Oryctolagus cuniculus: one gene and its partner. The protein of the gene in region 1 interacts with the protein of each later gene in a biochemical or structural test. Links are inferred from orthologs where the notes say so. Each region holds a gene or a part of one and is shown on either strand. Other genes may lie near its edges.

The links.
Region 2: of the proteins of BAD (region 1) and PAK1, one has a biochemical effect on the other in vitro, tested with the Homo sapiens proteins (3 studies listed by BioGRID). The link is inferred for Oryctolagus cuniculus from reciprocal best matches to the Homo sapiens genes BAD and PAK1.

The regions. Positions count from the first base shown.
Region 1 is NC_091432.1:7,043,481-7,046,093, reverse strand, and holds the end of BAD (bcl2-associated agonist of cell death), read right to left. Parts: intron 1,799-2,613; coding exon 1,608-1,798; intron 1,144-1,607; coding exon 1,018-1,143; 3' UTR 743-1,017; downstream 1-742. UniProt on the Homo sapiens protein: Promotes cell death. Successfully competes for the binding to Bcl-X(L), Bcl-2 and Bcl-W, thereby affecting the level of heterodimerization of these proteins with BAX. Can reverse the death repressor activity of Bcl-X(L), but not that of Bcl-2.
Region 2 is NC_091432.1:68,610,649-68,614,904, forward strand, and holds the start of PAK1 (serine/threonine-protein kinase PAK 1), read right to left. Parts: upstream 2,886-4,256; 5' UTR 2,303-2,885; intron 1-2,302. UniProt on the Homo sapiens protein: Protein kinase involved in intracellular signaling pathways downstream of integrins and receptor-type kinases that plays an important role in cytoskeleton dynamics, in cell adhesion, migration, proliferation, apoptosis, mitosis, and in vesicle-mediated transport processes.

The DNA of each region.
Region 1 (2,613 bases):
TCGGCCGCGCGGGGGCTGGCGGTGCGGGCCGGGCCGGGCCAGCTCAGAACCGGCCAAGGCAGGCGTGCGTACCCGGCAGGAGGGAGAGCTGTGCCTGTTTCACAGATGAGCGTACTGAGGCCCAGGGCGGAAGTCCGGCGTGCTGGCCAGCCCGGAGGCCGCCGGTGCGGGCAGGGCAGGCTGGCACCCGAGGCCGGCTCTCCGCTCCCGCTTCCTCCCGAGGAAGCCGCCTGCTAGCGGGCCTGCTCTCCGCCAATCGAGTGCTTGCTTTGCTGTTTTTAGTTTTGTTTTTTTTTTTTTTTTTTTTTTTGCAGCCTCGGGCAGATGGGGTGGGGAGGCCAGAGGAGCAGGGCCGAGGGGCCCAGGGTCACTCCCGGCCCTCCTCCTCCTGCGCGCCCGCCGCCGGCTCCGCGCCCCCACGGCCGACCCCGTCTCCCCGTCGGAGGCACCGCATGGGGGTCCACTCGCGGCCCGCGGGGCCGCGCCTCCTGCCGGGTCCCTGAGCGGCGCTGGCCCCCGGCCGGCCGCACAGTAGCCGCTCGCGGGGCCTGACCCAGCTAGGAACAGTGACCTCCCCGGGGAGCCCGCAGGGTTCCGGCCGCCGGCGGCCGCGGCGCCTGGTCGCCACCCTGGGGACGAGGCCCTGCGTCCGGCCGCGCGCCGCCTCGGCCCCTCGCCCAGCCTCCGTGACGGCGCGACCCTGGGCCTCGGGGCCCCAAACGACGGACAGAGGACACTCGGCGGCACAGAGGCTGGCTTTATTGGCGCCCTGGGGCGCGCGCGTCGGCCGCGCCGCCCCGCGGGGGAAGGTTCCGGCGGAGCAGCCGTTAGCCCCGGCTCGCCACCTGCGCCGGGCGGGGCCGCAGGGCCACTTCCGGAGGAACGCCGGGACTCCGACGGCTGCGGCACGCACCGGAAGGGGCTCGGGCGTCCAGACTGCGGGACTTCCGCCCACACCCGAGATGGCCGCCGCCGCCGACGGCAGCGGACTGGGTTTCGGGACTGTGGGGCCGAAGGTCACTGGGAAGGGGCGGAACCTCCTTTCCCCAAATTGCGATCCCACCAAGACTGGATGACGCGCGTCCAGCTGGAGCTTTCCCTCATCTGCATCGCTGTGCCCGCGCTCTTCGGGCGAGGCAGTCCCTTTGGGATGGGAAGAGGAAAGGGTTAAATGAGTCGCCTTTCCCCGGCGGTTCCGGTCAGGGTCCTCTCACTTCCGGAATCCCCGGGAGAACAATAAAGACCACAGTTCCCAGCATGCCCCGTACTGAGCGGTCCGGGAGGCACAGGATGCTGGGACCTTGGGAATGGGAACTGGCCGAACCGGCCGTATCGCACTGGAAGTGCCGCCTAGAATCCGTTAAGAGCCGGAGAACTAGCATCTATAAGACGAGACCGCAATTCAAAGTGAAAGTGGCGGCTCCGAAGCCGGAGCTAAAGAACCTAGGCACCCGGAAGGGGCTGGCCAGAAATACAGATACCAGCATGCCCCGCGCTCCAGAGAGCGTTGGTCCGGACTACAGGTCCCGGCATGCCCTGGGACTCCGGAAGGGGCCAGCTGCTGGGAGGCAGCCTGGAGCTGCCGCTTCTCTTAGGCTCGCGCTCACCTTGACGGAGCCCTCGAACTCGTCGCTCATCCTTCGGAGCTCGCGGCCGTAGCGCTGTGCAGCCCAGAGGTTGGGGGGCGCCGAGCGCGAGCGGCCCCGAAAGGGGCTGGGCTCCTCCTCGGCCCCTTCGCTGTCGTCCGCGTCCGCAGGGTACGAGCTGTGGCGGCTCCGGGTTTCCATAGCTCCGGCGCCTGCGGAGAGGGGTTTGGGGCGCGGCGGCGTGGGTCTCACCAACGCCGGCCGCACGCCCGGTCCCCTCCGCGGACGGGGACGGTTCAGTTCTCAGGAGTCCCCCCAGTCCTCACCGAGGCCCGATAGCGAGCGAGGCCTCGTGCACGAAATGAGCTTGCACCGTGCGCCGCATAGCGTCCGGCACAGCGGGAGTGGGTTCGGCGACGAGCGCGCCTTCGGCGGGGCCTCTGGTGCCCCGGAGCACCCCGTCCCGAGCCCTGCAGAGGGAGAGGCCGCGCCGAGCTGGGTGCGCGTGCGGGCGCCGGGGCACTTCGGGTTCTTCACCCGATCGCCCCAGGAGGTGGGCACCTTGGGGTGCCCTGGACGGGGCGCTAATCCTGGCCCTCAGCCGCTCGGTAGCGGGCGCAGCACGCACGGGCTCGGTGAGCGCCCGGGTCTGCCGCCGGCTCCGCCAGCCCTCCCCTCCCCCAGGCTTAGAAAGACCTAGAACCACTCCCGGAAGCAGAAGGCAGCGCTCCCAGCCAGGTGTGCCCCCGGGAAGGCCCGGGGCAGGGCTGGGGCGGAGCCTGGAGGTCAGCTTCCGGACCCTGCCCGACGGCGCCAGGCAGCCACCCAGAGGGTCTCCCCGCCGCTGGTCGGGGTCCCCTCACGGTTCCCGACGGCGTCTTCCGAGGGGTCGGGGGCGCCGAGTGAAGGGCCTGCTCTCCTCTGGGCAGTGGGGCAGCCCCGTCTCCCAGGACCACCGCGGGAACAGGGAGCCCGCGGCCGCCCTGCGCGGGAGTGAGCCAGTGCATCCAAGATTCCTTTGTCTTTC
Region 2 (4,256 bases), about 62 Mb from region 1:
AACTAGTACCCACTGATTTGCTAACAAGATGCCAGATTATGCTGAAGCTGTGATCCAGGGACCACACTTTGAGAAACTATTAGGAATCTCTAACTCATGGGCCTTGACTTTATTCTTTATACACATATTCATTCATTTAAACACTTATTCAATGCCAGGTCCTTTGCTAGCCACTAAAACTAAACAGATCATGCCCTCATGAAATTCACAGGCTAGTGAAAAAAGATAAGCACAGACTTAACATAATTGTAATACAGTGCCAGACAGAACTAAAAACGTGGTGTGTACATGAGCCAGAGGATGGAAAGGCAACTTATTACAAGGACACCTCTGTAGGCAGGGAAGGTGAAGAAGGCAGACATTCTAGGCAGATGAAACAGCACAAGGGGAAGCACAGATGAGAAAAAAGTGGTAGGAGAGAGTTTACCAAAACTGAGGCTGCAAAGGTAGACAATGCTCAGATCTCCAGTTTCTAGTTCCAAGCTAAGGAGTCTGAAATTTATCTTTTGACAATGAATAGTCAGAGGTAGGAATTACTTAAGTGATTACGCTTTGTTTTACAAAATCCCTGTGGTTACACAAATGCCTTCCTTTGAGGTGCTGCTTCCTTCAAGTCTATACAGAGTCTCAAAACCTGTGCTCAATAAATGTATGTAGAATTTTACTTTTTCTTATGGATGAGGGGCCAGCCTGAAGAACTCAATTTGGCCAGAAGCAAACTTGTAAAACAGGTCCAGCAACCTCAATTATTGCACACTACTCCCTGTACAACTGAAGTCCCCCGGAGATTAGGGCAGGCTGCATTGTTTACTTGTCTACCTCACCCACTAGACTTTGAGCTCTTTGAAGACAAGGAAGGTCTTAACACTCTTGAAATCCCCATGGCTGTGGCAAGAGGCTTGAAGCAGATTCCAGTAATAATGGATAAGAGAATAACTGAATAAGCAATTTTACCAGGTAGACCCACGAGCTCACGTAAAGGTATGTATAAGGTTCAGGGAATGTTTCAGGGTCCATATTCCCAAAACTTTTTTGAGAATTAGAGCTGATGTGGGGTAGGTTTCATATGCACCTGATTCAGGATTTCCCAAACAGAAATTAAAATGCTACAAGTGCCATAGGAGAAATCTCAGTGGGCCTCTGAAAGCCCCAACGGGGAGAAGTCAGCTCTACCTGAGAGGGAGGGGACAGATGCCAGCAAAGACTTGGGGGGAGGCATATTCTTCACTGGACTCTTGAAAGTGAAGTAGGTATGCTGCCTACCTGCCCATTCCAGGGACACAAAAGCAAACTCCTAGAATTTTAAGGCTGGAAGTGACCTGCTCAAGGTCACACAGGAAGTAGGTAAAGCCACAAGGTAAGACAAATGAGGTATCTTTGTACTGTGGACTCCTGTTTTCTCCTGACAAGAGATGAGAAAGCTCAAATACACAGTTGACGAAATTAAACATTTTTCCCAAGAACAATTCTTTAAAGACAAGAGTGATGGATTTGAATGTTTATTGGTAACCACAATACCAACCTTTCCCTTCACCTTTCACAGTTAAAAAATACAGTGAAGTGTAAGACAATTATCCAAGGGGTTTAACAAGGATTTTACTGGCAACACCGACACACACCCAGTACTTCTTAAGTATTCTTCCAAAACACTGCCAGTAATGTTTACCGTTGAAATATTCAAAACAGTGAACGCTGTAATAATGTCTTTTGAAATGGAATAGCTAATACAAAACAACTATAATTCTCCCTTCCTCGATTGTTTTCACCTTCCTAAGTTAGGGAGTACTCCCGGGATGGGGGAAGGGCTGCATAAATCGCACTACTGTTTTCTTTTCAAGTTGAACCCTAACGGTGGCTCTCCAAGCCTGGACTGGGGAACTTTTCCACGCAGAATGAAGCGGGCGCCCTGTGGCCAGGCTTCCCCGTCGCGGGCCACGGTGAGCGCTGCGGGACGGCCAAGTTCGGGACGGAGCTGGTCCCGGACTCGGACCTGTCTGGTCTCCCAGCCTCGGCCCGGCCCCTCCCCCGCCGGGGCCTCCCCCCTCCCGGCCCCCCGATGTCCCGGCGTCCGAGACCGGCGGTCGCGCGGGTGCGTGCACAGGGGGCCTTTGTTGGCCCGACGGGAGCGGCCCGCCTCGCGGGGCGGCGCCCGCCTCACCTCACCTGGCGCCCCCGCCCGCCGGGACCCGGCGCCCAGAATGAATGCGCCCAGGGCCCCCACCCCGTCCAGCCCACCCCGACCGCGCGCCTCAGCCGGGACAGCCCGCAACGCCAGGGGCACCGACCGGAGGCCGGCTCTTACCTTCCGTGCTCGCTCTGCTCCGCTCGGCTCCTCCTCCTGCTCCTCCACCCCGGTGGCGGCGGCCGGGCCGGGGGTGAGCGCGCGAGTGTGCGCGAGCCGCCGCTTCACTTTCTCCCTCCCGCCGCCGCCGCCGCGCGCCTCCCCCCGGCCGCTGGCTCTGGGGATCCCCTCAGGACCGAGGGACCTGCGAGGGAGGGGGCGGTGAGGCGGGAGGAGGCGCTGCGGGGCCGGCTCGGTGGGCTGAGAGGGGCGGGGATGTGAGGGGCTCGGACGGCCTCGGAGGGAGGTGGGAAGTCGATGGGGAGGCAGAGTTCTTTGAGCGGGATTTTGGGGACTGCGGGGTTCGGAGAAAAGAAGAGTCCGAGGGCAAAGTGTCTCCGGAGTAGGACAGCAGAGCGAGGCGGGGAGGCGCGATGGGCGAGCTGAGGGGGAGGGCGTGTGTGGGCAGCCGTGAGGGGGCGTCCACTGTGTAGCCGGCACCTTCAGTTCCAGTGGCAGCCGCTGCCCGCCGCCGCCCCGCCGCAGGCGCCCTATTGTAAGCCGCCTCCCGGGCCCGACCGCCTCGCCCACCGGCCCCCGCCCCGCCCCTGTGAGGCCTCGGCGCCGGCGGAGCCCTGCCCGCCCCGCCTCCCGCAGGTGGGAGGGGGCGGGGAGGGCCGGCTGGCCCACGTGAGCGAGACCAGCCCAGGCGAGGGGGAGGGCGAGCGCCGGGATGACGTCATCGCCTCATGACGCCAGAGGCTGGGGAATCACCCGGTTGCCTGTGACGTCATTGCGCCCGCTCCTCTGCTCTCTGCGGGTGCTCTCAACCCGCCGCAGGTTTCTTTGCTATGGACTTTGTGACTGAAAACCTTTGGGCAATTTCTGGGATGGCTGCAATCGGAAAAAGGCGGCTAACCCTCAGGATTCAGGGACTGCTGCTTACAAAGCACCACCGCATTCGTTAGCTCATTTCCAAGGACTGAATTTGAAAACGGTTTCGTGTGATCTCAGAGCCACATTATCTATGATTCTAATTGTTTTCTTTGGGTAGGATGTGGGAGCCAAAGTGGGGAGACAAAGGATAACCATGGTGACCTGACACAGAAAAAAAAAAATGGCTTCCTTTCCCGTTTTTCTCTTTGTATGATGTCTACTTTCTCCAAACCTTGCCCTGGAGCAAAGATTATGTATTTACCAAAACCTCCCCCACAGCGTTCACCTGCATGCATTGTTGTACCTCAGATTCAACGTGTCCAGTACTGGACAGCATTGGTGGCTGAAAGTCTGGAACAAGATTGTCTTGCTTCAAATACGTATCATCCATATAAATGTTAGTAATAGGATCTTAACGTTTTTAAACCATACTTTCTCCATAATAAGTGGTACTTGTGTATCCTTAACTTAATCTCTCTAAGCCTACCTGAAGCCATAAAAATGATAGTGACAATTAAGCATAGTCAGCCCTTTGGAATGTTGACTATTACCAGTCATTTCCCTCCAACCTTGCGACTCTTGTGCCTTCCTGGTCTCAGTGAATCGACCACACAATCCAGCAGTCAGTGAAAACAGAAACCTGGACGAAAGTCCAGATTCTCTCTACCTGCCTACCAAACTGGACGTCAGGTCTTGTCAATTCTACTTTGCAGGTCCTTGCCCTTCTCTTCCTCCACCATCACATGAACTACTGGCGCAACCTTCAGTTGCTCCAGATCCAATCCACTGACCACCACAAATATGATGATGTCCTCCTCTATTTAAACACTCTGAAAGGTTTTTATTGCTTTCAGGATAAAGTCTAAAATCCTTAACCTGGGACTTCACAACCTGACTTTTTCAGCTCCATCACTCATCATATAGCTTTTCCTCCAGCCACACTAAAATACTATTTAACATTCTCGCAATACACACTTCTTCATGTCTCTGAGCCCTTCACTCCTTATGTGACTGGCCAACACCTATTGATTCTACAAAG